Mytilus edulis: one gene and its partners. Each later gene encodes a partner of the first gene's protein in a complex. Links are inferred from orthologs where the notes say so. Each region holds a gene or a part of one and is shown on either strand. Other genes may lie near its edges.

The links.
Region 2: the proteins of protein Mo25-like (region 1) and serine/threonine-protein kinase stk11-like are in contact, whole or in part, in a crystal structure (PDB 2WTK), measured with the Homo sapiens proteins. The link is inferred for Mytilus edulis from reciprocal best matches to the Homo sapiens genes CAB39 and STK11. Residues at the interface, in NP_001124321.1 of Homo sapiens: Gln109, Gly111, Thr112, Lys196, Leu197, Leu238, Asp239, Arg240, His241, Phe243, Met246, Ile250, Val280, Ala283, Asn284, Pro285, Glu317, Gln318; in NP_000446.1 of Homo sapiens: Gln100, Arg103, Arg104, Glu165, His168, Ser169, Gly171, Leu201, His202, Pro203, Phe204, Ala205, Ala206, Asp207, Asp208, Phe234, Arg301, Ser307, Arg310, Lys311, Lys312.
Region 3: the proteins of protein Mo25-like (region 1) and STE20-related kinase adapter protein alpha-like are in contact, whole or in part, in a crystal structure (PDB 3GNI), measured with the Homo sapiens proteins. The link is inferred for Mytilus edulis from reciprocal best matches to the Homo sapiens genes CAB39 and STRADA. Residues at the interface, in NP_001124321.1 of Homo sapiens: Leu26, Glu27, Lys28, Gln29, Tyr55, Gly56, Thr57, Asn58, Ala85, Asp86, Gln88, Leu89, Phe92, Glu93, Lys96, Arg107, Glu138, Leu141, Ile145, Ser176, Thr177, Phe178, Asp179, Ser182, Asp183, Glu221, Asn222, Tyr223, Val224, Arg227; in NP_001003787.1 of Homo sapiens: Pro64, Leu104, Glu105, Cys107, Ser108, Asn109, Val112, Gln116, Leu119, His120, Lys123, Leu124, Phe125, Asn126, Thr136, Phe137, Ile138, Asp140, Asn141, Leu143, Tyr185, Met189, His223, Gly224, Arg226, Val426, Asp427, Asp428, Trp429, Glu430.

The regions. Positions count from the first base shown.
Region 1 is NC_092346.1:47,964,238-47,974,536, reverse strand, and holds the start of protein Mo25-like, read left to right. Parts: upstream 1-5,323; 5' UTR 5,324-5,379; intron 5,380-5,380; exon of another isoform or gene 5,381-5,434; intron 5,435-9,537; 5' UTR 9,538-9,572; coding exon 9,573-9,683; intron 9,684-10,299. Other genes in the region: flavin-containing monooxygenase 5-like, read right to left, coding at 1,967-2,136, 5,017-5,204. UniProt on the Homo sapiens protein: Component of a complex that binds and activates STK11/LKB1. In the complex, required to stabilize the interaction between CAB39/MO25 (CAB39/MO25alpha or CAB39L/MO25beta) and STK11/LKB1.
Region 2 is NC_092344.1:117,605,109-117,615,558, reverse strand, and holds the start of serine/threonine-protein kinase stk11-like, read left to right. Parts: upstream 1-5,929; 5' UTR 5,930-6,047; coding exon 6,048-6,385; intron 6,386-9,890; coding exon 9,891-9,974; intron 9,975-10,450. UniProt on the Homo sapiens protein: Tumor suppressor serine/threonine-protein kinase that controls the activity of AMP-activated protein kinase (AMPK) family members, thereby playing a role in various processes such as cell metabolism, cell polarity, apoptosis and DNA damage response.
Region 3 is NC_092345.1:36,193,298-36,204,464, reverse strand, and holds the start of STE20-related kinase adapter protein alpha-like, read left to right. Parts: upstream 1-6,529; 5' UTR 6,530-6,606; intron 6,607-11,167. Other genes in the region: sacsin-like, read right to left, coding at 3,022-3,199. UniProt on the Homo sapiens protein: Pseudokinase which, in complex with CAB39/MO25 (CAB39/MO25alpha or CAB39L/MO25beta), binds to and activates STK11/LKB1.

The DNA of each region.
Region 1 (10,299 bases):
AAATGACTTATAAATTGTAGTACATGTACATATATTATCTGATTATAGCGTAAGTTAACATCAGCTTCAACCCATTTCAAAGAGCTAAATATGAGTGGATTTCAAAACTTCACTGATAGTTTCATTATCTAATATTTTACAAACTGGTTTTTTTCTCGTTCTTGAAGTTATATTTTAGTTTTAATTAAAGTTGATTGATTGCTTGTTGGTGTCAACTGCCACTTTTAGAACTGTTGGCTAACAGTACTTGTTGTGGTTAGTTTTTATTGGTGGAGAAAACCAGACTTCAGAGAACCAACAACCTTCCAAAGATATTTTTTTAATAACTGTTTTCAATTACAGTATTTTGTTCTCAGATTTTAGATCTATATCTAGATTTCTTCATATGGCTACTTTGTTGTAACTAAATGAAACTTTGCCAATGTCTTTAAAAGGGACTACGATATAAAAAAAATCTAAATGCTTAAAGACACTGACTGCAAATAATTCTGCTTTGCACATTACTTCAGCTGGTATCCGCTCTTTGGTTGGGTTGTTGTCTCTTTGACATATTACCCATTTTCATACTCAATTTTACTTAAGATAAATTGTCTTATATTGTTATAACCCATTGCAAGTTTTTTCATGTTTTTTACTTATGCATCAATGTTTATTGTTTATATGGCTATTTTTATCTCTTTCAAGTACATGTCATAATGTAGATGTGACATGTATGCAATAACGAATAAAAGAATACAAGTAAATTTTACAATTGTGAGGCTACTAGGGTCAATTACAATACATACATTTTAATTTGAAAATGTAACATGTAAACCACACAGACACATAAAATTATAGGTCTGTATAAGTATACATCTCTTTAGTTTGTACATAAATTATCATGTTGCACTAGATTACATCAGAATAACAGTTAAGTATGTTAAAACTGGTATTTCTACATGTAAAAGCATATTTAATTAAAGGGTACCTTGACCAAAAAAATTATATTGCCACATGATGCAAATATTATTTAAAGAGGCAATGTGGTATGATTTTAAATGAGAAAGCTATTAGTTAAACCAAAGGAGATATGGATTCAGACAATGAGCAATGTCTATATTGTATTACAGTAAGCTTTAAAAAGTACAAGGTAGATAATGGTCATTGAAAATACAACTATGTACACAGGCTTAGCAGTGGCAGATCTAGAAATTTTCAAAAGGGGGCACACTGACTGCCTAAGAGGGGGCCTGCTCCAGTCATGCTTCAGTGATTCCTTGTATAATCAACCAATTTTTCCTCAACAAAAAATGGGGTTTGGGCACCCTGGGTTCCCCCTCTAAATCCATCACTGCTTAGCCACCAAAATCAACTGGACACTATTTTCACACAAAAAGCCTACTGCTGACTATGCGGTATGGGCTTTGCTCATTGTTGAAGGCCGTACGGTGACCTATAGTTGTTAATGTCTGTGTCATTTTGGTCTTTTGTGGATAGTTGTCTCATTGGCAATCATACTACATCTTCTTTTTTATATTAAATTTCATTTGGTTAAATTGTAAAATTTTGTTTATTAAATTTTTGAAATTGGAATTGTATGCGACTGTTATACAAGTGAGAGGTAAGGCTAGCTTTAAAACCAGACTTAATACACATACTAAATAAGAAAATGCCTATAACAAGTCAGGAATATGAAAGTTGTTATCAATTTGTTGGATGTATATTCGTTTGATGTATTTGAGCTTTTGATTCGCCATTTGATAAGGAACTTCCTTTTCAAATTTTCTTCAGAGATCTGTACTTTTGCGATTTAACTTTTTGTTTTGTAGTAAACCATAATTATGCATGTTAAATGTTTTAATATTATTAGAAACAAGGAATTATTTGAAACATGTTGAATTTCTTGTTTAGAAAACATATCCATGTCCATGTCAGAACTAAAGTTCTTTCAAATAAACAATATAACAATGTTACCATGGTTACAGACCTTGTCTTTCAATGCTGACCACTTTTCTGCACAATTTGATGATTTCATTCAGCTTAAAGTGGTTGGTATAACTTTTAATATATTTGGCCATATCAACATTGTGTGGGTAATCTGGAACATCGTCAGGAAACGGAAAGTCTGAGAAACAGTAGTTGTACTTTGATACATTTCTAAAATTTATTTTATACATTTATATATAATATTCATACATATATGTGTCAAAGATTACAGAAAGTCTACCTCAACTAGATCATGCATAAAATGTTGGTTAAGCTGACCCAAATTGTAATACAACGTATATATACCAAATTAGTATTCATTAAGTGTTTTAAAAATTAATTATGACTGACCACAAAACTTAATATGTATTCTCAGAAGTCTCCAGTATTAAATGCATATTTCTACAATATTTCATATCATAAACGAAACAATTACTAATATAGATTAACAATATATACAAATGATATAATAATTCAGCAATACAGATCAAGTAATAAATAACAAAAACTCAAATGATGTTTTCAATTCAAAATCTCGCTACATGTATCTTAGCAGTTAGCCTGAGGCTTAGAAAAATTATTTTACTGATTAGTGATAGTATATGAGGGTTTGGATGGGGTTAAATGATTAAAGAATAATGCCCTTAAAAAATGAAGATTAGAGAAAAAAGGGGTGAAAATTTAATGTTTACAGAATATGTAACCATGTAACCTCAAGTTTTCAGAAATATTCTATTAAAAAAAACTCTAGGTCCACACATATACCATACATATATTTATCAAATTCGATTAATTATATGTTGTCAAGAAAAAACATTGATTTTCGGATCTTTATATATTCCGCCTTCTTTTTCCAGACAAAGACTTCAGAAAGTTATATAATTCTTAATTCAGATATAAATTCAATTAAATTCGTATATGTCTGAAAATTTCAGCTTAGAAAAGGGTATGCATATATATCATGTATATATTTGGTTTTTTTTTAATAGAATATTTCTGAAAACTTGAGGTTACATGGTTACTAAATCTTGCACACAGGTAAAAAAAAAAAGAGGTGAAAATTTGATTGGTTTATTTCCTATATGCAATGAAATTTAATGTAAAATTTTGTCTGTAGTACGGTACTAGATGGGATATAGCTTTACTAATGCCAAGTATTTGAAACAAAGATAAATTCTGCATAATTTTTTTTAAAAGTGCAAATTTAACAAAGACAAAAAGGGGAAAATCAATGGTGTTTATATTACACCTATATGTCCTACAATTGATGTCTTTCGTTACATGTACACACTTATATAAAAATATTTTTATTTTCTGCTCATTATTAAAGGGCTTATTACAAAAATATCAATCAAGTTACAAGTAGTAAAATAGAATGAACCATATCAAAATATTGTATTGTTTGATGATTAGGGGAGGGTTGAGTCACTCCATGAGATATACAAAGAGGGATAACTCTAGGTCCACACAGATACCATACATATATTTATCAAATTCAATTAATTATATGTTGTCAAGAAAAAACATTGATTTTCGGATCTTTATATATTCCGCATTCTTTTTCCAGACAAAGACTTCAGAAAGTTATATAATTCTTAATTCAGATATAAATTCAATTTAATATATCATCTTTTAATGTTGATTCTTTCAAGTTGAGATAATTATAAACAAGAATGTGTCCATAGTACACGGATGCCCCACTCCCACTTTCTATGTTCAGTGGACCGTGAAATTGGGGTCAAAACTTTAATTTGGAATTAAAATTAGAAAGATCATATTATAGGGAACATGTGTACTAAGTTTCAAGTTGATTGGACTTCAGCTTCATCAAAAACTACCTCGACCAAAAACTTTAACCGGACGGACGAACGGAGGCACAGACCAGAAAACATAATGCCCCTCTACTATCGTAGGTGGGGCATAAAAATATATGTTATTAAGATATATGCATCTCTAATTTTTATATTAAAGAAAGCTTGTCAATACCTGAGACTACTATGTTATAGAAGTCTCAGTCAATACTTAATATCTTTAAAAAAAACTTTGACCTTAACATTTTTAAGGCAGCTACATATTCTTATCTTGAAGAGGTACATTTATAATTTTAAAAAAATTGCTCTTCACTATATATTAAAGTATTAGCTGTTTCTTTATAAAAGTCTCTCTGACAAGACTTTTAATTTGAAGATTATGATTACTAATTACTCTAAATCTACACAAATTAAATCCTTGTTGATATAAACAAATCCTTCAAATTTAAATTTGAAATAGAACTGTGTTTTGAATTTGCTATGCTCATAAATCACCACAAATGCAGGTATTTGTCTCAGATTTTTTTTCTATATATATATACCTTAAATAATACAACACAATTTTTCATTTGCAAATTTCCACTTACGCTGAATCAAAATGTCTTCAACTTTGCAAGTCATTCATCTTTATTTTTCTATGGATCAGGATCAACTTCATACCTTTTGAATTTCTTTGGGGTTCTATATTTTTGTGGTTTAAACTTTTACTTTTTTATTTTGTTTGAATTCAAATTAATTTTTGAGTTATTTCCTTGGACAATGAAAGGCTTTAAAGCACCTCATAATCATTTGGACTACCTTTGTAAGGAGACAGATCACATAAATGAGGGGAGGTCATAAATAAGGGTAGAAATGGGGGTACTGTCATGACCAATAACAGGGGGAAAAAATTGCCCAATGACGTTGACGATAATTTTTGGTGCATGACGATAAAAAAATGATTTTGACCAAGGATTTGTACAAATCCAAATCCGTTTTGACAAATCATGTTAATTTATTTCCAAAAATAACGGTAAAGATAATTATTTGAGATCTCTGACAAATCATGGTAAAATATTAACAAAACGATGCTAACGGTAGCGGAAAATGATCGTTTGACGATAAAGGGCATTACTATCCTCAAAAATATACACAAGTTTGCTTTAAAATTTTACAAGGATTTGTGAGGTGAAGCAAGATACAAATTTGATTTGGTATTAATCTTTTATAAAATAATGTTGTCAGTAGCTTTAAAACTTACATGTGTGTGAATCTCATAACACCATAGTCATTTTCTCTGAATGTCCATAACCCTCCTATGTCACCAGATCTTTCAAACACAACCACACTCAAACCAGCTTCTCTCAGACATTTTGCAGTGACAAGTCCAGAAATTCCTGCACCAATAACTATAACATCGGGACGATGGACTTGATCTTGGGAGGACATGTTTTAAATGACATGTCAAGTTATTTCAGGGTAAGATAACGTAAAAAATGGTTCAAAGTTCATTTTAGCTCTTTTAACCATGTGGGTTTGTTTACATTTTTATCTTCCGGCTCTGCGCACCTGACCCGTGACGTCACTTCCTTCTTGAGTTCGATAGCTATCTTGTTCATCACTGGTAAGCATTTCAATTTTCCTGTTCAAAAGGAAGCTTAATAAGCATCAGACTTAAAGTATTTGTTCTAGTATAGTCGTAATATATCGTATTCCTTCAATAATTGAACAAAAACTTTCAAAATATATCAGTGAACTGAAATGTCACAATGGATGAACATTCTTAGAATGCCATAAATTTGACATAATTTCATTTTTACCATGTTTTCTTATTTGCCAACCCATTAGTTTGCTGAATGCACTTTGCAACTCTTTGAGTAATCTTTTATTCTTTTAATAATTATGCTATATACATGCATGATACGTCGAATGGTTTGCAGACTTTAGCCATTTATTCAATGAACTAACATGACTAAGGTTAATCCCTTTTCTGAATCCCAAGCAATTTCAGACTTGGCTGCCCACAGAAAATTGCGCCATACTCACTTGTAGGTCATTTCACCTCTGCACAGGGTCAAACACCACCAAAGTCTTTAAAATGCCACCTAACACCTTGAGCACATTAGTTATATTCTTTTGAATGAGGATGAAGAACATGATCATGATGATGAAGATTATTTTTACACATATTAAAAAAAAAGAAGAAGAAGAAATAATTTATAACTGGAGAATGAACATAAACAGTCTTCTGGTTTTAAACTTTCAGAATAACAATGTTATTGTTGTTCATGTTGTGAAAATATGGCAGGTAATTAAAACACCATTTCACTTCAAACATTGTCAAAAAGAGGGGGGGGGTATTTTTTTTTTATCCTAAAAAAAAATATTCTGATCCCCATTTTAGGCCTGATGAAGACAAATATTGTAAGCAGAAGACGAAAATTTTTAAATGAATGAAATGGTAGCTTCCTCATTATGATTATTTCACATGAAATAAAATGTTTTTACTTTTACTTTCAAAATTATTTTTTTTTATGCTTAAGTATAAGGAAGTGTACATGTGGAAGTGAGCAGTTACAAAATGTACATGTACATGTATAGGCAAATTTTTTTTTTCCACGAAGGGGGCATTCAGTTTTAGCTTGTCCGTCCTTATGTCTGAATGTGACATTGTCCAAAAATTTGTTTCCGTTCACTAACATTAGTTTGCCTTCAAACAAATGTTATGAAATTAAACTTATACATAATACTTCTTCCTAAAAAAATCTGATCAAGTTTGAGTTTTTGTGACATCACTTTTACTTTTCAGAATTATGTCCCTTTACAAATTGAAAATGCTGATTTTTTTGTTTTTATTCTCTCAAGTTTAGTTTGCCTCAAACAATTGTTGCAATAACTTTACAAACTGTTTATTTCAACAAAACACAGATATACATTTGTAATTGATTGATTGATTGTTGGTTGCTTAAAGTCCAGTAGCAAATATTTCATGCATGTTCAGGGCGAGAAAAATTTAACAAAAAATACAATAGGTAGGTCCTGTTTACATTTTTACGTTGTGTTTCCGTTGTGTCGTTTGTTTTCTTCTATATTTGAGTGTGAATTCACATTACTATAAGACGTTTCACGGTACTTTTCTATCCCAAATTCATGTATTTGGTTTTGATGTTATATTGATTATTCTCCTTGGATTTTGTCTAATGCTTAGTCTGTTGCTATGTGTGTTACATTTGAATGTTGTGTCATTCTCCTCTTATATTTAATGCGTTTCCCTCAGTTTTAGTTTGTTTTCCCGATTTTGTTTTTTGTCCATAGATTTACGATTTTTGAACAACGGTATACTACTGTTGCCTTTATTTAATGTTATATTAGAGGTGAATTACAAAATTTTCAAACTGCAATACTATCAAAGGTAATAAAAATAATAGAGATGGACCGTTTCAGACACATACTATTAAGGGGAAAATTCATTCAATTTCAAAACATTATCATTCATTGTTTTAGTGCATTTAATAGAAAAAAAGAATTTTGTGGCAAATAAAACCAAGATTTTTGTAAAAGATCCACAAACTTTAATACAGAGATATTTGATACATTTCTTAAGATACCTTTATAATAAGTTGAGGTGATTGATTGATTATTTGGTGTTTAATGCCACTTATATAATTAGCACTGTTCAGTATTGTGTTTTTTAGTGTTGGTTGATTTTAAGTGGTGAAGGAAGCAGGAGCTCCTAATGAGAAAAACTAATATTCCTAGTCAATTAAGATTGTAGTTAAGCTGCCACTTGGGGGAATCAAACTTCCAACCTCTATATTAACAGGCTAGTGACACAGTATACATAGACAGTACATTATGATTACTTAGAATTACTAGGCCAGCGAAACCCCTTATTTTAGATGAAAAATACAACTTATGTTATAATAATGACTTTTTTGTCCTTGGATAATAGTTGTCCATGTAGTCTGATTTAACTTAAAATGTAAGATTTAATTGGTTGATTTCAGAGTCATAAAACATGCTACATGTTTTTACATTCAATAGGCCACACCTTAGCTATAGTTCATTGCAAATGTTTCCCTCCTGTTATGGAGAAATTAACATTTCAATAAAAAGTCATCCCTAATCCTTGTTTTCACAGGCATTCATCTATAGCATAGCTATCTCTCATGGTTGATTGTAAATTCCCATGATTTTTTTTCTTAAATCATAGAAGTATTTTATTTTGATGAAACCTTAAATCCTGCTGTTAGCATGGTTAGTCTTTTGGCATGTAAGCAGAACTCTTGTTTTGTTGGAGGGAATTGAAAAGAGTACCAACAAAACCAACTTAACCAAGGTGATGGTACTGTGATATGCATGCTCATCATAATTAGGGGTGTGTAATTGGTTCAACAACTTTTATTCAGGTCTAAGAGTTTTGAATGAGTTGCAACTTTTTGGAGTATAAGGAAAGATGATTTTGCTCATGTATAAATGTATCTGAATGGGATGACAGGTATTTTAAGGGAACATTTTAATATCTTGGGTCGTACATGTTACTTTTGTATACATACATCCTACTGTCATGTAGCAAAACACTTATCTTGCTCAGCATGTTGTTTTAGTACAAAGCAAAATATATTCACCTCACACATTACATGTATTTCGATCCTGAATATTGATGAATAGTTCCAACTTGATGTCAAGCAGCCAACAAATTTTCATTACCATAGACAATGATAGAACGAAAACAACTTCTATAAGATATCTTTCAGGGACATTTGTTTAGATACTTATACCATGTATACATATTTTTAGTTTTACTCAACAAATGTCATTTACCTATATAGCTAACATACATAATTCCTCTCGTAAAACCCTTGAATCTCTTTCATAAATCCTTCACCCAGACTCCCAGAGTACCATTAACAGATACACTGTATGTACAAAATGTATGGCTCTTGGTGCAAATGTGCAGTGGTTTAAATGCTGCATGTTTGCTTCCTGTATCATGACCATGATTTATCAGAGGTTGCCAACAACATGCTTGCTTAAACTTCATTTTTATGCCCCCCTCCGTTGCGGAGAAGGTATTAAGTTTTACCCTTGACTTTAAGTATGAACGTAAGTCTCAAAGTTGGTTTCCGTTCTCTAACTTTATTGTACTTATAAATAAATGGTGAGAGAGGGTCAAACAAATACAAAATGTACATACACATACTTAATATTGGCCTCATTGTATCCCCATAAAATTTGATCAATGTTTAGTTCTTGTAATAATCATAAGCAGCAATAAAATAAAGCTCTCTATTAGGTAGTTTTAAAGACTTTTTTTAATTGTTATTCCAGACTATTCATCTTTTTTATAAACATTTTGACTAGTTGTCACTTGTGTACTGTAGACCATTTGTTTTCACCTACTGTTGGTGATCTACGTGTAAAATTTAGTTACAACTGTATCTCTTGATTTTTTAATTGTTTTAGAGTTATTTAACCTTATTTTTTATAATAATGGCATATCATAGCTAATTAAGAAGCACTTCATTTTCTTCAAGAAATATGCAAATGTTCTAGATCTGCCTTATAGAAATCTAGAAAAAAAAAAATGATTCTATTTATTAACCAAGTAAGTATAGTTACACAAAAAACGCAAGCTCTTAAATTTGTACATTTATATAAGTGCATCATATCATCAATCATAGAAGACTCTAGTAAAGTGCATCATTATATACGCATTTGTAACTTTGTACTATTGTCATGATTGTACATACATGAAACATAATACTATTATTTATTGCAGGCTTAAGTGGAAAAATAGGATCGTAAATCCTTATAATGCCCCTGTTTGGGAAGTCACAGAAGAGTCCCCAGGATGTGGTTAAGTCCCTAAAGGAGGCTCTCCTTGCTGTTTCCAAGGGAAGTACAGGGGAAAAGAAAGCTGATAAGGTATGAAGTAATTTGAGCATGTAGTGAAGTCTTTTAAGATGAATTGAATGTCAAACCTTTAGCTTATCACTTGTAACGGACAAGGAAGTATTGTATTTCAAGTTTTTTGTTTTTTTGTTACTTTTAAACATGTTAAATAATTTAAAAGTATTTGGTGAGATCAAATTATTGAGAATTTTTTTTTTAACTTTTTTTCAACTGAATAGGCAATGATAGGTGTTCTGCAGAAGCTGCCATTTTGCATTCTTTACATATTTTTTTTCAACATGTTAAAAGTATGAAAATTTCCTTACTATACTGGGTATATTTCACCCTAACATTTTGTGTTATCAACATCAACATACATGTTTACTTGTGTAGGTTTTGGTACAAATACATTGAATCAAATACTGTACGTGCTGTATTAGTGGAAATTTCATACATGTATGTTTATAAATCAGGTTTTCTATTATAAAGACTTATCCCAATAGTTATAAAGCTGATTCAACTGTAGGAGTGCCACAACAATGTTTATATAATACACTGTTTCATGGTGTGCTATAAATGTTAACATTATGGCAGTGGTCAAGGAAGAAGGATCATAAAGTTATTTCAAATAATGTTTGAAGTGATGTCA
Region 2 (10,450 bases), on another chromosome or scaffold:
TCTGTTCCCATTTCGTCAGTGTTGTTAGATCTTTTTGAAGAATGGCTTGATCTTTGATAGTTCTAATCGGCCAGTATAGATGGTGTAATCATCAGCAAACAGATGGATTGTTGACTATGTTATCAGTGAAGTCATTGATGAAGATTAGGAAAATGACAGGTCCAAGTACACTGCTTGGGGTACTCCAGATGTGACTCCTACTTTGTCCGAATACTTAATTTCACGTACAACTGCATGTGTTCTGTTGTCTAAAAATGCTGTGATCCATTTGTGATTTCCCCCTCTTATCCCATAGTGTCTGAGCTTGTGTAGCAGGCGTGGATGGCTGACTTTATCAAATGTCTTTGCTAAGTCCAGGACTATTATATCTGTTTGTGTTTTACTGTCCATTTTACATGTTATATCATGTATCAGGCCTATAAGTTGTGTCTCGCACGATTTCTTACTTCTAAAGCCAGGTTGGAACTCGGATAGTATTTTATTAGTTTCTAAATGTTTCATGACGTTGGATACTACGATATGCTTCATAAGCTTGCAAAGGATGCAGGTTTAGTGAGACAGGTTTGTTGTCTTCAGTAAAAACTGATTGGAACTGATGGTTTAGCGTGTTGGCTTCAATGTCAACTGTGTCATTTGATGTTTGTCCTTCATGTTTCAATGGTGGCACTCCAGCTATCTCTTTACTCATGCATTTTAAAAACGAGATTTTTTTTTTTTTGGGGGGGGGGTAGTTTATAATCCGGTGCTATATGATGTTTAATTGTTGTCTGTGGTATGTGCTCAGTCTTGTTAGTAAGTTTATGTATCATCTTTAAATTCCTCCCATATTTTGTTTATATCTGTACTATACATTGAAGACCTGTTGGTGACCCTCTGCTGTTGTTTTTTATTTGGTCGGGTTGTTGTCTCTTTGACACATTCCCCATTTCCATTCTCAATTTTATTGCAGTTTATGATAACATCGTTTCCAAGATTATTTGCTTCTGCTTTCATGGTCCCAAAGTCTGCTTTCTTATATTGGTAAACTTTTCTTGGTGTCTGATTTTCTTTGATTGGTGTTGTTACTGCTTCGGCATAAACAATATTATCGTGTTCTCCCTGGACAGACTTCAGTATGTAAGCCGAAAGAGGTATGGTAAAAAAACCAGACTGAGATTTCTCTCCATTGATTTGCACAACTGTAGATCACTGTAGCTACAAACTGAGACTACCATGAGTTATAGTAGTCTCAGCGGCTACAAAATAAGATTTGACTATTTAATATTAAGGATTTGTCAACTGTGTATCTATGTGGCACTTGTGACAATCTAGTTACATGGGACGATAGAGGAATAGTTTGTGACACATGCAATCAGTGGTACCATGTGTCATGCCAGTCGATGAACACTAAATCGTATAATGAATATGCAAATGACAGTGGACTTGCATGGGATTGTATCACATGTGGATGTCCAAACTATTCAACACAGATGCTATTCATTAATACTTAGCACATCAAACAATTACAGCGTATTGTCTGACACCTCTCTTACCAGTCCAACGTCTTCAATAAATATGAGACCCTTACATGCTTCCACACCGGATAAAAACAAGAACAGAAAACCATCAAAGAAATCTGAAACACCACTAAGATTACTAAATGTTAACTTCCAATCAATCAAAAGTAAACAAGGACAAGTACTTAATCTCATAGAAAGCACAAACCCAGATATTATCTTTGGAACCGAAACATGGGTAGACAATAAGATCACTGGCAGTCAAATATTCCCTCCTGGATATAACATCTTCCGGAAAGACAGAAACTGTAGTGGAGGGGGCGTACTAGTTGCTATTAAAGATAAATATATAACAACAGCCGTACCTGAACTACAAACTGACTGTGAAATTGTCTTGTGCAAACTTTAACTCATTGGACACAAAGCCATATACTTAAGCTCATATTACAACCCCAAAACATCAAACGAGAATGGGTACTTAGGACTTGAGAAGAGCCTAACCAGAGCGAACAATATAAAAAAATGCTTTAATCATCATGGCTGGTGATTTTAACCTACCAGGCTGGGACTGGAAAACCAAATCACTGAAGCCCAATACACAGAATACCAACATACACCATAAGTTCACTGACATCCTGGACGATCATGGCTTACAACAAATGGTAGAGGAACCAACAAGAGAATCATACACACTAGATCTCATAATCACGAACTACCCAAACTGCTACAATAGAGTCGAAACCATATATATCGGGCATATCAGATCATGACATCGTCTTTGCAGAGTTGAACACCATACCATAAAAAAAAACCTCAAAAGCCAAGGAAAATATCCTTATATAAAAAAGCTAAGCGGGAAAACATCAAAGAAGATCTCAAATTAATAAATACAGATGTTACCAAGATGAACCATCAAGAATGTAGTACACAAGAAATGTGGGACTATGTTCAAGGTAAACTTGAAAATACTATAAATGCCAACATATCACAAAAACAGCTAGAACAAAAGACGGTAACCCTTGGATTACGACAGACATCAAACGCTCATAAAGAAAAGAGAAAAAACATTACAATAAATAAAAAGAAACAAGAATCGCTCAAGTTGATTTTTTTGGCATTTATCTTTCGTTAAAGGGTTTGAGTGTCCAATTTCATTGAATTTTGTTTTTAAAAAAAATTGTGTAAAATTGTCGTTAAAGGGCAATAACTCGTTAAGTGGTGAATTGACAATTTTGGTCATATGAACTTATTTGTAGATCTTACTTTGCTGATCATATTTGCTGTTTACAGTTTATCTTTATCATTAATACTATTAAAGATAATAACCAAAAACTGCAAAATTTCCTTAAAATTACCATTTTAGTGGCAGCAACCCAGCAATGGGTTATTAGATTCATCTGAAAATTTCAGGACTGATAGAACTATCTTATGAATACTTTTACCACGTGTCAGATTTTCTCTAACTGCCTTGGTTTTTAAAATATACGTCAAAAAATGCATTTTATCCCTATCTTCTATTTTTAGACATGGTGGCCATGTTTTTTTGACGAAACAGAAAATAAAACAAAAACTTTATTCTAGACATCCTAAGGATCATTCAGCTCAAGTTTGGTTGGAATTGGTTCAGTGGTTTCAGAAAAGAAGATTTTTTAAAGTTAGAAAACATGATAAACAAATTGTGTAAAATTGTCCTTAAAGGGCAATAACTCTTTAAGTGGTCAATTGACAATGTTGGTCCTATAAACCTATTTGTAAATCTTACTTTGCTGAACATATTTGCTGTTTAAAGTTTATCTTTATCATTAACACTATTCAAGATAACCAAAAACTGCAAAATGGCCTTAAAATTACCAATTTTACTGGCAGCAACCCAACAATTTAGATCCATCTGAAAATTTCAGGGCTGATAGAACATTACCTTAAGAACACTTTCACCCCAAGTCAGATTTTCTCTAACTGCTTTGTTTTGTTTTTTTTAGATATAAGCCAAAAACTGCATTTTACCCCTATGTTCTATTTTTAGCTATGGCGGCCATGTTTTTTTGACGAAACAGAAAATAAAACACAAACTTTATTCTAGATACCCTTAGAATTATTCAGTGTAAGTTTGGTTGGAATTGGTTGAGTAGTTTTAGAGGAGAAGATGTTTGAAATAGTTTACACCAGATGGACGATGACGGACGACGACGGACGCCAAGTGATGGCTAAAGCTCACCGTTTCGAAAAAAAAATCAGCTGATGCTAAGCATACCATCAAAATATAAAGAACTAAAAAGACTGGTAGTAGATATTTCCAATATGCTGGTATTATTTCTCTCTGTACGGTACAGAGAGAAATAAGACGAGCATATTGGAAATATATAGAGAATATAATAACACCTGATCCCAAAGAAGACAAACCAAACTGCATGAAACGTTTCTGGACATTCATCAAGCACAAAAGATCAGACGGAAACCTTATACTACCATTAAGGAACAATGGACTACTCCATCCTGAGTCAGTTGAAAAGGCTAACATACTAAATAAACAGTTCCAATCAGTTTTTCTCTGACAAAAAAAACAACTTTACAGAAACCGAATTCAAAAACCGTTGTGACATGACCAACAACAACTACCCTGGACTTCAAAAAAGACCTGAACATAACAGAAAATGGAATAGCAAAACTATTGTCCAACCTAAACCCATTTAAAGCTGCGGGTCCAGACACCATTACATCAAGGGTGCAGAGGGAATTAGCCATAGACATTGCACCAATCCTTACCACCATCTTCAGACGATCATATGAAACAGGCGATTTACCGGACATATGGAAAAAGGCTAACGTAATCCCAATATTCAAGAAGGGAAAACGGTTTGATGCAGTAGTCTCGCTTACCTGCATTTGTTGCGAAATCATGGAGTACATTGTAACAAGCCACATAATGACCCATGCTGACAAACACAACAGAGGTACAACATACTGTATCCACTCCAACACGGATTCAGGAGAGGCCTGTCCTGCGAAACACAACTGATTGAGTTTATTAACGATATCACCATAAACATGGAAAACAAACAGACTGCCTTATTATGGATTTTTCTAAGGCCTTTGATAAAGTAGGTCATAGCCGACTTACACACAAACTGGATCATTATGGCATAGGAGGGAAAACCAACAGGTGGATCACAAACTTCCTGGCCAACAGAAAACAAGTCGTAGTTGTAGAAGGGGAAAAATCTGATACAATCAACGTCGATTCAGGCGTCACACAAGGATCAGTTCTTGGACCCAGTTTGTTCCTTTTCTATATAAATGACATGCCAGAGGGAATCCGATCAAGGGTAAGACTCTTTGCTGATGATACAATCATATATCTCCAATACCATCAGACACAGACAGCGACCACCTTCAGGAAGATCTAAATAAGCTGGCAATTTGGGAAAACAAATGGCAAATGGCATTTCATCCAGATAAATGTAATGTTCTTATCATAACAAGAAAATGCAAGTCTATTATAAAAGAATATGTACTGCATGGCCACATTCTCGAATCTCTTAACTCCGAGTCTGCAAAGTAATTTGGTTGCACCATCAGCTCCGATTTAAAATGGAATGAACACATCAAAAACATATGTGTTACGGCAAACAAGACCATAGGCTTCCTCAAACGTAACTTGAACATCAATAACAACACAATAAAAGAAAATGCATACAAATCACTTGTAAGACCGACTCTAGAATATGCATGTACAGTCTGGGATCCCTATCAACTAAACAACAAAAAAAGCGACTGGAAATGGTACAGAGGAGAGCAGCCACATATGCACTAATAGATATCATAACACATCATGATTTGTTAGTGACATGCATAACCAACTGGAGAGTAACCCCTCGATGACCGTAGGAGGACATCAAGGCTCACAATGATGTAAACTTGCCAACGGGATGGTGAAATTTGACACCACTTATACTCTCATTCCACCAGATAGGCTATCCAGAAATATCAACACTAATGGATACCAAGTACCATCTTGTAGGACCCAAGTGTGGAAGGAATATTTTTACCCAAGGACGATTCGAGACTGACTGGAATGCACTACCACATACTGCCATCAGTGCAGATAGTCTTGAATGCTTCAAGACTTACCTACATGAGATGAACTAGATCAACTTCAAGATGTTTTTAAATTCACTGTATATATATGATGACGGTACAGTATGGTGCCGATTTGAAGAATGACCATAAAAAAATTAAGGCTCATTTGACGGTAACGGTCGCGAAAATGCGTGTTTGTCTTCGTAGACAAAAGATATATTTACACTTAAAAATAATATGGACACTTTTAGTTTTGATACCAAAAAGTATCAACAAAAAGTAACACATTTCAAATGTTATATTTCCCGCTATATTAACTTTTCTTTTGCTGATTCCGGAACACGAAACGACGTTTTTAAACCAGTCGCCTCGTTTTGATAACTGTCAAATATGGAGTCGACCAACTTCCTCCAGCCACTTTGACATGAATGTGATGTTAGGTTTCCAAAATTTAAGAAATAGTCCACACCAGTTATGGCAGAGAATGTTGTGGTGCCAACAGATATATTTCTTGCACCCAACGAATATGGCCATTCTACCCTAGAACATGTTGATCAACTTGATTTCCTTAACGATAGTGATGGAGGTCTTCCCTTTTTTCACAGAGTTGAATCTAGCGAAGTCGTTTATCAGCCTCGTCGGAAAAAGGCAAAGATGGTTGGAAAGTATCTTGTTGGCGATCTGTTAGGAGAGGGTTCATATGGAAAAGTTAAAGAAGTTATAGACACTGTCACACTATGCAGAAGGGCTGTTAAAATTTTAAAGAAGAGGAAACTGAGAAAAATTCCTAATGGAGAACAAAACGTTTTAAGGTTGTTATTTCCGAAGATCACATTTGAAAATGTAAAAACCAAAATGTTTGCTCATGCCACAACATGTGATGTCAAGCATATTTAAGGCAATGTCTTTGATTATGTTGAAAACATAAATAAAACAAAAATATATGGCAGTGTCTGCACTAGTCCAAATAATTATGACGTCTTGAAAGGCTATTATAATTTTTTTCTTTGACACCTTACATCGACGTCATAATGCTGAAGCCGCCATTTTCGGTTGGACTTTGAGAGCATATTTTGCTCTCAACTTTGAGACCCAATTTAGCCACAAAATTTTCATTGGAGGCTAAAACAAAATGCATAAACAAAAATTCTTACCTTTTATGTGTTTGTTTGTGCAAAATATTTCCAATTAATCCCTACAGAAATAATAATATAAGGAACAATTCCATCCGAGGCGGGAACATGTCGACTGCATTTTTTAAAACGTTTGTCTGATTTCCTTTAAGAAGATTATAAAATAATTTTTACACCAAACTCGGTAAAACCCGAATTTCCGGAACCATTGTTTTACATTATCCGGAAATTCAGGTCGGTGAAAATGTACCGAGTTTGGTTAAAAAATATATTTTATACACCTAAAATGAAGCATCTTTAGGAGAAATCAGCTAAACGTTTTAATAAAGCAGTAAATTCCTTCTCAAAGTCCAACTGAATATATGAGTTTGGCGTTATGACGTCGATGTAAGGCGTCAAAGAAAAAAATTATAATAGCCTTTCAAGACGTCATAATTATTTGGACTATGTCTGCACATACCTTCATGCAGGTATGAATAGTCAAATTACCATTCGTAGGCTATGCGTACCCACCGGTTTTATAATAAAAATGCTGTGGGATTGTAAATGAAAGGTGAAATATAAACGGAAATTATCAATAGTATGGGGATTTCATGTAGACCTCAATCCTCAATCTTAAGGCCTGTTGGCACGAATTGTCTCAATGTGCGGTTTTCCTCAACGTATTTTCTTTTCTGTGCTTTAAATTGGTACATGTATGCGCTGGTTAAGATTGGGATTGTGGGACAGTAGTATTAAATCTGCCCGTTCTGTCAATGTAATGTGCCACTGTTTGTAGTTTGGCTTTTGTCTCTTCTGTGTTCTCGCCGTCCAGTCTCGTTAGCTAAATTCAAGTTTCTGACCCCGACCTCTTTGGATATTTGGTGTAACATATCTTCTCGTTCGTTTTCATAGCAGGGACATTCCAGAAGAAAATGTTGAGGCGTTTCATGTGCTCCACAGTTGCAGGACTCTATGGCGTTGGTTTGGCCTACTCGGTTTTGTAGTAATTGAGTTCTGTATAGCCAGTTCTTAGTTGGGCGAATATACTGTAGAACAAGTGAAGAATATGAAAAATAATATTTTCAAATTGTATTTTTAAGATAATAATATGTAATGAACCTTGCAAATTAAATGCTCATGCACTATGATGCACTGATGGAAAATGAAACTTTACAGTCCCAGTAAAAGAAAAACATGATAAAAATTAATACTATCATAAAATGTAAATGCAAATTACTGAATTTGAAAAATACCCATATGAGATTTAAAAATAATCTTTAAGTAAAATGTTAAACAGAAAAGGAAATTTTAAAATATCTTAAACTACTAAAATTAAAGCTTGGGTGTGTATATAAAAATTTAAAAAGCAATTAATATTGTCAAATTAAACCAACTTTGTTCCAGCTTTAGTCAAGCCAAGTTTAAAGTGGAAATACATTCCATTTGGAAAGTACTGAAAGTAGACATATATATCCTTTATATCATGAATGGTTTAGAATAGAAAAACAAGAAGTATTTGACATAAAAAAAAACTTGACCATAGAATGAAACACTGCAAATTCAATTTAAACTATAAATTTTAATCGAATACCGATTGTATTAGGCCTTTTTCCTGTCAAATTTTTCCTGCAGCTGCAATTGACTCTGAGTTTCTTTTATACAATTGTATAAAATTAGCTATAGTTGACTGAAAGTTTTGAACAAATTGTTCCAATTCATGATAACTTGAAATGTCTTCCCCACATGTATATCACTCTTCCATTTTAAGAATATTTATTAACTGAGAAAAACTGTCTATAAAACTTCGGAGTAGTTTAAATCAATTTATTCACTAATTGCAACAAATTCCGTATATATTTCACATTCCATTCTCAATCTGATGCCATTTTATTATAAAACCGGATGCGGGTATGCGTAGCATACAAACTATTATTTGACTATTCGTACCCACATACGGGTACATGCAAACACTGCCAAAAAATATTGTTCTGTTGGACACTAAATGGCAGAATGCTAGGCTGGGTTAGAAACTGAGTAATTACAAACATTAGGCCAAATAAAAATATATGTGTGGTTCCAGTTACATACTTTTAAAAAATAGGGTTGGTAGGTCGGCAATTTTTTTATTTGTTTTTGAATTTTATTTTTTTTGAATGTCAAAATCCGGAAACAAATCGTGTGTTTACCGAAATTGTTTCCGGTATTATACATGCCCCAACCTGAAGTCCGCCATTTTTACATGTGTTTGGTTGTAAAATAAACAGTCATGATACGTTTTAAGTTAATTTTGTTGCATTCTGTTATGAATTGTTGCATTTTACCCATAACAGATACTTGTGATGGAAATTCAGATTACAGAATTCTATGAATTTAATTATTTTAATTCACAATCCTCAAAATTTTAACCTTTGAAAATTTATTTTTCAGAAATAAAAAAAAAAGTTCTAAGGTCGGGGGGTTTTAATTAGGGTCTGTCGGGTTACTGGAACCACACATATATTTTTATTTGGCCTTACAAAAATATTTTGTGTCTACATTTAAGTCAATGCATTTCAATGTAGCTGGGAATAGTAAAAAGTCTTAAAAGTTAAAATATAGCTTGAAAATTTGTATTTGTAACACTACAATAGCCAAACACTTAAATATTTCATTTGGAAAGTGCTAAAAAGACTAAAAACACAATGCTTTGGATCAGTACAACAGGTTTAAAGAATTTGTTCACAATTTTATAGTTCAATGATGCAGACACATTATAGACTAGTATTTATCAAACTAGAAATATTGTCTTACGTCTATTTGCAAGCTCACTAGAGCTCGTGTTTATGTAGTTTATTGAATATTGACTCTAAAAAAACTTTAAATTGAATAGAAAAGATATCTCCAGCATTTTCCAGCAAATGTTGGAATGTCAAAGTTTATTTTAAGTTCCTACTTGACAAGATTTGTAAACACAAGACACAACCACTATACAACTCCACACTGTCAGAAGAGACATCAAATGCTGCCATTGGTCAAGAATGATGTATTTCGAATAAGCATGACTTTTATCTTCCAGCAGATGATGTAGCATTGTAATAACAAATGTTGTCTTAATCTGCCCGGGGTTGATAGGAGGGTACTAGATCATAACTTGGTTACAGAAGATAACATTGAACATACTGAGATGGTTGTTTCTTAATTGGTTCATGCATTTTTTTTACAGGGAAATTCAGCTTTTAAAGAGGCTTCACCATAAACATGTAGTTTTCTTGGATGATGTCATCTTTAATGATGAAAAGCAAAAGATGTATCCTTTATAATCATATCAAAGAAAGTCAGATGGGTGTTTGGTAAACTTACATGCAATAAAAAAATGAAATGCAGGGTCAAAGGAAATCAAAATGATAGCTTAAAATTAAATTAAATAAATTTTTCGTTTATACCGAGGAGATATTCAGATACATGTTTACATATATTTGGCCCATTTCTTTTTTGTCTTTTTGAGTTTGCGCAAGAAATTTCAATTTTATGACAATGCATATCATGCATATATGTTGTAAATTTGTACTTGATAAAGGTTATTTTGAATCTTGAATCTGTCTTTTACTGTCTTTGATTATGACTATAATACAGAAGGAAAAAATGTTTCTTAAAAAATGTCAAAAATTATGACGAAAGTTCTCACAGATTTATTAATAGATATTATTGCAAAAAAAATAATTGATTTGTGGGATGTAAGACAACCAGAAATCATTTAATATCAGATTTATGAGGAAGGCATTA
Region 3 (11,167 bases), on another chromosome or scaffold:
TACCTAACACTTAATTGAGATGATTACAAAGAGAGTTGAAAGAAACCAAAGAGTCATTAAAATTCATAAGTAGAAAATAAACTGATAACGACATGTCTAAAAAAGATGAAAAAGATAAACTGACAAACAACAGTGTACAAAACACTACATAGAAAGTTACAGACTGAGCTACGCGAACCAAACCATAAACTGATGTGATCTTAAGTGCCCCGGAAGGGTAAGCAAATTCTACTCCACCTGTAACTTTGTTGCAGTCACCGTGTTTGTTCATATAAATATAAAACCGGCAATAAGTCTAATTAAGTAGGTCACAATGGGAAAAGGGAACGGAATGGGACGTACATCTAGAAATTAACAATGAGGGTCGGTTGGAAACAAAGCTTTACGACAAATAGATGATTTCAGCATTCCAATTGTGAACTTTCAAATTCTATGAAGCAACATTTAAGCAGCGCCGGCATACGGAGTATATAAATCCCAATTGATACGATATTCCCGGGCTTTAATTCCTATCATTATTTCTTTGATAGAGGGTTGATGCTCATGAAGAAGCTATTAAACCTTGAGAGTTCCAAATGGTGAAGTTGAAATCATCCCTTTGTAAATTTTAGGGATGCCCTCACGAGTTAGTTGACCGTACTGGAATAACCGTTTCACCGATGATATCAGATATGTTCCTTATGTCGTAACTACAATCTACTTCCCTTTTCCCCACGAATGTAACCTACCGAAAAAGACTATTTACCGGGTTTGTAATAACATGAGCAGCACGCGGAGCATGATCTTCTTATCCTTCCGGATCACCCCAATATTTGGTGGGGTTCGTATTGCTTAGTCTTTAGTTTTCTGTGTTGTGTCTTGTGCACTTTTATTTGTCTTTTATCGTTTTATTTTTAGCCATGGCGTTGTCAGTTTATTTTCTATCTGCAAGTTTGACTGACCCTCTGGTATCTTTCGCCCCATCTTTTAGTTACGACATAAAGTCACATTAAGAACATATAAGTCATGAAAAAACATTTGGAAACCATGGTTAAACAGCTTCCTTGTATGAAAAAATACTCTATCAAGGACATCATGATAGAAAATACAAGGCCTGGAATACCGTATATACTCTGTAAGCAGGCACTGTTGGAATTTTGCAAAATAGAAATGGAAAGTTCCCAATAGGAAAATGCATATCTTTTGTCGTAAAGTTTTGTTTTTAACCCACCCTATAATAGTCAATTTCTAGATCTAAGTCAGTTTGAGAGTTGCCCCATTGGCACTTATACCACATCTTCTTAGATCAGTATATGAGGCAGACTGAGCTGTACCTATTATATCCTTTATCTCAATTTTGATGGATGCGTTGAACGTAGTCAAAAAATTTTGAATTATTAAGTGAGAGAAAATCACTGATCTAGCTAGCGGAAAATAAAGTTAAAGGCGACTGCTAACTTCTTTTTTTCTTATCTTTTTTTTGTTCTTTTTTAATAGATATCCTACAAGAGATGCAAGTGACAAATATATAAGATATGTTAGTTTCATCCTTCTTAAAAATAATCTAGAAACATTATCGTCAAATCATTAAAGACGCTCTGTCATCCAATAGTAAAAATGGGTGTAAACGGGGGAAATGTGATACAAAATCTCTTGATTCTTATACAAATAATGTGTGAATACTCTTGATGCTAGATGTGTACTGATTGATATTGAAGTCTTAGATACAGATTCTGTTATAAGTTGCTATTTGTTTAATTTCAATTGAACTAAATTTCAGCAACTGCGAGTGGTCTAAGATCTGTTCTTGTTGTATTTTGTTGTATTCAGTTTGTTGTCTTTTGTGGATTTAAAAAAAAAATATGTTTTTGTATCGATCTGAAGGGTAGCTTTTAAACTGATTTCTTTAGGTTGTTCTTATATTTTATTAAATAAATGCCCCAGGTAAGTGGAGAGTAAGAGAAAACGTCTAACTCTGCCATCTTCTGTAATAGTGGTTTCCCATGTCAGGAGCCTGTAATTCGGTGCTTATCGTATGCTACTGTGTATCATATTTGTTCTCTGTTCATTGTTTTGTACATGACTCAGGCCGTTAGTTTTCTCCTTTCTGGTATCTTCCGCCGTTTTCTTTTTTTTTATTAACGTTCAAATTTTATTGATTTAAAGTAAGTTCCTTAGGATGAATTTCATACAACGATTTAGTAAATTATCTATTATTATGTAACGAAAAAAATATCAGCAAGGTTATAAGTTACGAATTAAGAATTTTGACCCCGTTGGCTTTCCATAGGTTATGGTTAGTGTGGTTGAATTAAACAATTTTAAAAATGCAATTGAGACAGGTCTTTACTGAGTTTGGTCATAGACTGAGATTCTTTTAAGTACAAAATAAAGTTTGCTATATAGGGAGCCAATTTGTGCCCATTTTAATACCTTCATCTTGTCGATAAACCTTATTAACAAAACGTACAAAAATGTTTAAGAACATTTACAGCTTTAAGCATTACACACCCATTAAGAATATAGAAGATATCAATCTTTCTCATTAGACAAGGAGGCTTTACATGAGTTGCAGCCAATACTTTTGATGAAAGATTTTTCAAACGACCATATCTTTAAATAGGAAAACGTATGTTTAATAAGATTGTGTGGGGGTGTAATGTAAAGAGTTTATAGGTCAACCATATATGTAATACCTATCTTATTCTATGGGTCAACAGTGTCAACCGATTTAAAAGGACCACCAAAAACATCCAAAGATTTTGCTACACTCCAAAAATAATTAATTCCATTATATAAATTCTTTGCTAGTAGATTTAATGAACTAGTTTAATAAAAGCACTGAAAGGTTAATTGTAGAACACTTCCTAGAAACCGAAATCGAACGATAGCTGTAGCTTAGGTCACCAATACATAGTAAGGATTTGAAGCTGAGATGCTCATTATTCTATATTCTGAAAAACTCACCAAGATCCTCAACAAGCCCATGGCCGTTATATAACGTTGGAGATAAGCAGATGGTAATGAATTTTAAATCCTTACCGAATGTTTTCTCTTCGTCTTCTTCTTCATCTTCAGATTGCATACTTCCTCCAGATTTATGTCCCAAAGATGACCGAAACTGTCCATGGCTATAGGATTCATCTTGACGTTGCTTTTTCTTCTTTGGTTCATTGATATATGTCTCCTTTGAATTTCTTTTGCTTCTTTTTCCCTCCATTTAAAACGGTTTTAAAACGGTTTACAATAATAACCTACAAACAGAAATGCCAATTCAAATTTATAAGTGTCCATGGATTATTTGTTAGATTTAATTGTATCTAAAATATATTCACACTATGTCAACAGTGTCCTCTATGAAAAGTAAAATAACAAAACTGAATACCGAACTCTGAGGAAAATTCTAAATGAAAAGTCTCTTACCAAACGGCAAATTCGAAAGCTCAAACACATCAGATGAATAGATCACAACTGTAATATTTCAGGCTGACTTGGTGCAGACATTTTTCTTGTGTAGAAAATGGTAGATTAAAGCTGGTTCTATAGCTAGCAAAACCTCTGAATTGTATGATTAAATGTCCTTTCGAGTTCTCGGTAAACTGTGGCTTCAATTTTGCAACATTACATGACAACAGAACATGTTGTTTGTAGTGAAGTTTTCAATACAGTAATTGTGCATGAAAAGTAATGATACAATTTAAAAGTTTTTAAGGGCATTATCTGAAAGTCCGCCCTCGTTCGAAGATTTTTTTTTGAAATTGAGAAGACAGTGGTTAATAACCCAAAATATGAATTAAATTCCTCTTCAAAAGTATTCATCTTTCATATCAAACATGTAGCTGATGAACTATGGTCTGCAAATCGTAAAAAAAAATCATTAGACCAAAGAACGTACCGATTCCGCAGCTATCAAACATGCAGATTCCCAATATTACTGTATACTTTTAGATTTACATAATCGGTTGTAACCGTCTGTAATCGTACAGTGACTTCACGTTCATTTCAGTCCATTATTCGGTGACTTCTTGTAGAAGTCGAATGTGAATGTTCTGGAACAGTCGAATGTGAATGTTTTGGAACATAACGCGACAAATGACCAAAAATTTATCTCTGGACACGTGCAACTAAACTATGTATACATTATACTTCAAACTTTGAAGAATATTTAATGAAAACGTCTCTATATATATATAATACAATTATATGTGTACAAGTAATAATTTCTATGATGGCATTGTACCAGTAATTACTTTCATAATGCTAGCATACAAGTTATTTCTTGTTTTAAATAATAACATGTACTCTCTATATATATATTATAATTCGTCTAAATAACAGGCCAGAAATGTTAGATCTGTAAATTTGTGTTAGCAAATTTTCAATCGTTCTTCCCGTCTGCCCGGGATTCGAAATCATGCTACTGAGATATCGTGACACCAAATCGCGCTACTATGCCCGACGCGCAAGACCACTCGACCACCCAGGCTCTACAAAAGTAAAGATTTCAGTGGCAGGGTGAGTCCGAGTGTTACCTTTCGTCGTCAGTTTTAATCTAGCGTCCGCGTAACACATTACATGATATATATAGGCATGAAGATTGAAATGTTACATCAAAATCAATACGTTTAAAGACTCATAAGTGTATGGCAATCAGTAATGTATGCAAAATGCATTTAAAACATATTATCTTGTTGTCAAGTGGTGTTGAAAATGAAAGTCTTAGTACAACAGGAACGAGAAGCATCCTTTACACATTTACCAGTGGCGGATCCAGAAATTTTTATAAGTGGGGGCCCACTACTGACCTAAGAGGGGGCCCGCTCCAGTCACCCTTCAGTGATTCCCTATATAAGCAACCAAATTTTTTCCCAAAAAGGGGGGGGGGGGGCCGGGCCCCCTGCCCCCCTCTAAATCCGCCTCTGTTTACAGTCAAATGGACTTGCGTAAGACAGAAAACTTTCATTGGAGCCGATAATTCTATATCGTAGTTGCCCTGGCGAACAAGAAACATATTACCACATCAGTAAAATGATCTTACCTCACTGTCAGTGGAAACGCCGCCATTATTTCCGTCGACTCGTACTATTGTGCATAAATTCGTTAACTGCCTCAGAGTTAACTGCACTTACTTCCTTACTTGTAGTGCGTAATTTCTAACTACAAATGTATATATATACTTTTTACAGATATCTATCCTATATATATTTCATTTTCGCTTTCGTTTTTAATTTTCCGAAAAAACATTGGAGTTTTACATGTTGTAATTATTTGTAGTTTTTTTAATTTGAGACTCGGACACTTTAATATCAATCGATAGTAATGTTTAAATGACAAGGACAAAGCCGTCATATGCCGAATGAGGTCTACCGTACGTGCAAATAATATTAAAGAAGTATAAATATTGTACTTTCACTTTCAATTTCAATTTTCCAAAAGAACAAGATTTCACAGAATTTTCTAAAACGTATTATCATATACAGTTGTTTATATTTTGTATTTGACCTTTCACGCAATGTCCCTGTATAAAAATGTGGATCCAGGATTTAGAAAAATGAGGGAGGTGAGGACTAGAGGAACTGAATTGATTTTTACAAATTAACAATTGAAACGTTGCTTGTTATCCTTTCATTAGAAGTTGTCAGTGGTGCCATATCTGCGTGACCTAAAAGCGGTAAAATGGAAAAGTGAAGGGTGTTTTTAGTCACGCTATATACGTCTCTGGCTAATGTGAGTTAAACAAAAAAGATATGCAGCATATTTAGAACACGGCCATATACCACAGAAATGGTCAATATTATTAATCATCCATGTAATTTGCTATATATGGGATTATTGAACGAAAAGATATAAGACTGGTTGGGTTTAATCTCCATAATTAGTGATCCTAATATTTTGGCTCTTTTTTGGTGTTTTTATTTTTCTGCTGGATCTGTCACAAGCTTTTTCCGGCAAATTATTTGTAACTGATCAGACATCATTAATTTAGCGGAGAACACGGATTAAAATTGAATATTTTTATATTATATGTGCACAGGCACTTGTATTCGAAAAAAAGAAGCCTACTATACCTTATATTTAGGTAAATATAAAAAATAATTCTGTGACAAGTGCCTGTGTAGCCCTACATATATGTGCCGCATATTTATTTGATGGGTCAAAAATTGAAAACAGCACGTTTAATAATTTCTATGCGTCCGAAGCGCTCTTCAGGATTTACCTTCATCAGTCAATTTAATAATACTAGTCAGTTTGATCCATATGTTATATAGGATCTGACTAAATGATAGACTGACGGCACCTTCTATTCAGTTTAGATTTTCTGAAGATTCTGAGAAATGCTTATTCTGACATAAATCACTATTTACATGTTACTATTATTGTTGGTGTTACCAATTATGTAAATCAAAGTTATCTGATTTTATGCCCTTTATTGGGCCCTGTAATTTGGGAAATAAAAATATTCTATTCTATTCTATTCTATTCTATATCGTTCTTGATACCGTATATATTGACATAACTTTTCCGTATTTGTCTCTGCTATTATTTATCCGAAACCGGAAGTGTTATTTTGCAGTCGACAAAGTTTGGAAAGACTATTCTAGCGCTATTTAGACTTCTGTATCGAAGGCATGATCTTTTTTGTTCTTTAAACATAAAGAAGATGTTTCTTTTTAGCTGATTTGAAACTGTAGGACAGTCAAGCTATGACTGTCACATCTGTGCATCATGTTGATCAACTACACCATTTACACCAGGTCAGGAATAACCACCAATTGGTGGATTATACCTCAATTGACGTATAATCCACCAATTGACATATAATGATATAGACCAATTGGTGTATAATTCTTTGTTTTTCAAAACAAATTATTCCACCAAAATGGAGCATTGTTTTCTTAAAACCATATTATGGTATGAAAACTTGTCAAACATTTCTAGTTTAGTATAGTGACATAACATACAGTACAGCCTGTGACATCCTATCCTCTTAGTTATGTCCACCCTCTTGCATGGTCAACATCCAATGGTGAACATTTATTGGGGTATTCAATCTTCAGATGTTGGCCATTTATTGGGGGGTCATAAAACATAGATAGATTTTTTATCTCAGTATGTTACCTGTTAAAATCAATCAGGGTTGAAGTTTTCAGCTGGTATGTTTCATTAAAATTTACCTGTACAGGAAACTCAGGTTTCTTTTAAAATTGACATTTCACCTTTTTTTGAAAATGTAGAATAAAATATTGTTTTAGTCTGTTTAATTTATTATTTGTTTTTTTTTTGTTTTAATGTTATTTAAAATTTTTATTTTTGTTTTTTTTTCATTTTTGTATGGGTTTTTTCATTACTTTTTTGTTTCTTATTCTTTTAATTTCTTCTTGGTAAGAATCTCGAGTAGAAATGGCAAAAAGTCAAAGATAAAGTTATTGACTAGCATTTGAAATAAACACTTTTAATAATTGTTTTTTTAAGTAAAAGGTTTATATAAATGTACATGATGTACATTGTATTCAATTGTTTGTTAGCATTATTAAATGAGTTATTACTATTAATAATAACTAATAATCATGCAAATGATATTTAAAAAACAAATAAAGTATTAAACAAGTCGGTTTCTTAACAAAATAAGATGATCAATATCAACCCTTTTACAATAAATTTTGATAACATCTAATATTATTCAGGAAAACTACAAGTTTCATTATATGGTTTAGGAAAAAAACTAATTTTGTTTATCTAAATTTTTTTCAAATCTCAAAACAAGAGTTGTGCACAAACAATCACTGAAAAGACTTATTTTTCAAATGCCCACCTAGTCCTGTGACTTTTTTTCCTGTGACTTTTTTTCCGTTTACCGAAAATGCTAATCATAATGAAAAATGTTCTTATCTCTGAATAAAGTGAATCTTATGCAAAGAAATTATTTTAAGAAATTGAAATTTATTAAATATGTTATTTTCAGTTTGGTTAATTTCTTTCAAAATTTGTCTCCAGAAAAAATAATGTGCACTTCTAAAAATGGTGACACTTTTATGGTCTATTAATTAAATCATATTTTTTTTTCAGTGTATTATATTGTTGAAAGTGCTGGACTAGCATGATACATATTCTTGGTATACATTTGCAAAGAATATTTCACTCAACCTAGGCCTTTTAGATATTTGTTAATAATTGCAGGGACTTGAATGAATTAAGACTTTTAAATTAGACCGTTGGTTTTCCCGTTTGAATGGTTTTACACTAGTAATTTTGGGGCCCTTTATAGCTTGTTGTTCGGTGTGAGCTAAGGCTCCTTGTTGAAGGCCGTACTTTAACCTATAATGGTTTACTTTTTAAATTGTTATCTGTATGGAGAGTTGTCTCATTGGCACTCACACCACATCTTCCTATATCTACTTAATAAAAAATGAATTTAAAAAAAATCTAAGAATAAAAACTTATGATAAAAACTGTAAACTTAATTGTGTCAATAGGTAGAATTTTTGGTCATAATTTAGAAATAGAAAATAATGGACTATATAAAATACCTAGAAATGATAGAATATGTAAACTGTGTCTCTTGTAGGTCAACGAAAACACCTATTCCTTGATTGTAAAATTAGCAAAACAACTTTGAGATAATCTATATGAAAATTATTTACCTTCTCATAATAATGTCTCTTACCCAAAAACAAAAAGTAAAAGAAATGCTTAACCTCTAAAACATGGATCATGTTTAAAATATCATATGACAATAAAGATATTATCAAATTTTGCTGTAATGAATATTTCTAATATTTATATGTTATTTAATTGAGAAATAATTAACTGCCTAAATTTTATTTAGCGTAAGTCCTAAAGACAATCTTTAACATATATATGTTAAACAATGTTGAATGCAGATCAGTCTATTTACAATTAATAAACAATTTTGATGTAAGAAAATTAATTTGAGAAACACCTTTTCATTAGAAAAGGCAGGCATTGTAAATGTGTGCAATTATATTTGAAAATGATACTTAATATAAAAAATAACTTAAATTGATTAAAAATTATTTAAAAAGTATAATATTAAAACTAATAGTCATGAGACAATTATTTTTTTGAGCTGTTTTTTCACCTAGTTTTATTATTTCATTTTATTTTCGAATTTCTTGTCATAAACACAGTTATTAAATTTGACAAACACATACATGTATATATTACCTGAGACACATGACCTGTAAGTTATATAATTTTAACACTTCAATGCATTCAAGATTTCCCTTTATCCTTGACTAGTTTTTGATTAATACCTTGTGTATTAAAAAAGCAACAGGGACATATAGGGCCACCATGGTGAACATATTTTTTATGGCCACCATTAATAAGATAAAGTCACAGGTAGTACTGTATTGCATTTAATCAATAATTGTATTTGAAGTTTCTTCTATTGTTATCTTGTCAATTCTTGATTGGCAAATTTACCTGTAATCACCTGTCAATGGACATCATTAATGTCTGCTGTCATGTGATCATGAGTACAACTCCACAGGTGAATGGAGCTCTTTGTTAATACTTGACTTTCATTATTAAAAGTCAATCATGGTCAATAGTACAAATGTTTCAACAAAAGAATTGTTGTACACATGCATTCTCAAGAAATGCAGCAGGCTTTGACAAAACTGAAACTTTCGGCGGACTCAATAAGGGTCATGAAATAGGTTGCAAGTTGCAAAATCATGCTATCTCACACTAGCATTTAATTACAAAAAACTTGCATTATACATCAATTGGTCTATACCAATATACCTCAATTGGTGGATTATACGTCAATTGAGGTATAATCCACCAATAAGTGGTTATTCCTGACCTGTACACATGCTAGTACAGGTTTATCTGTATTTATGCATGTAAATGGCATAGGCACAAGTTTGTTTCTATGAATTTTGTCTATGGAAAGGTGGACTCTCCATATACCAGGGGTGTAGCTAGGTATTCAGTCAACTGTAGGCATCAATCGGCAGTGGGTCTGGGGGCCGCTCTAGGCTTCCATAAGGTCCAGGACAGAGTCCTCGGTTCACGGTTTTCAGTGTTTTAGCTGCAAAATTTTATGTACAAAAATATTTAATTTACTGGTTATTTAATCAAGAAAATTATAATATACATGATGAAAAGTTCAAAGAATTATAAATAATTTACATTAACATGATAAACTGTCATCTGACTGGTGAATTAAATATAAACGCAATAAAACACAGTACAATCGGAAATATATAAAAAAAATATTTACAATATCATTATGCATTGCCCAGCGTAGATCAGCGTATCCCTTTTATTAAGCAGTATACCCTGTTTGGTATTTTCATACCTCTGATATATACGTTTAACTTAATTAATAGTACATATTGACGATCCTTCATTAAAAAAAAATAGGCACGTTATGTAAACACTGATAATAAAACTGTCCTTTTGGCTAGACATCAACCATCAATCTTTTGATTCTTAACCCTTCACCCAAGCCACACAAAGTTGAAACACATACACCATTGTACACATGTAGTCGATGTCTAATGCAAAAGTTCTGTTCCGTTCATACTATCGTAACAAAATTCAAGAAATTCATATGTCTTTATATCCTCTACTGTAAAATCCCTACCTGCTTAGGAATTTGAATAATTGTGGTCATTACATGCAGATCTGAGAGTACACAAAATTACTGGAAGCTAGTTGATCGATTGATTTTCATAAATATTAATGCAAGTTCAGGACAATTTTTTTTTACAATAAATACAACAGGGAGCTAGGTCCTGTAATAGGTGTCTTACAGGACGAAGGTCTGGAAATTTGAAAATGCCATGTATTGGAAAACGATGGGTTATTGGATAGAAGCAGAAATTTTGCCTTTCAGTGGACCAACTACGAACTCCTCAAAGAGTGACATTCTCTCTACAGCTAGGCATCGGATTTATTGTCCCCATTCTGACCAGATGCGACTGTGTATGTGACTGTATTTATACATCCTGCACAGCCAAACGGACGACCAACATTGGCAAGGGTTTTATTGTAGGTCGGGTGAAGACAAAGTGGAAAGCTACTTTGTAGTTGAAAACTAACAACTAATTAAAAAAAACATGTTTCTAAGTTGAGGTTCATTTAAGTTTTTGTTGACAGAAGTGAAATTATCTGAACCAAATTTCTAGTTTAGTTTCTATACAAGGTAAAATCA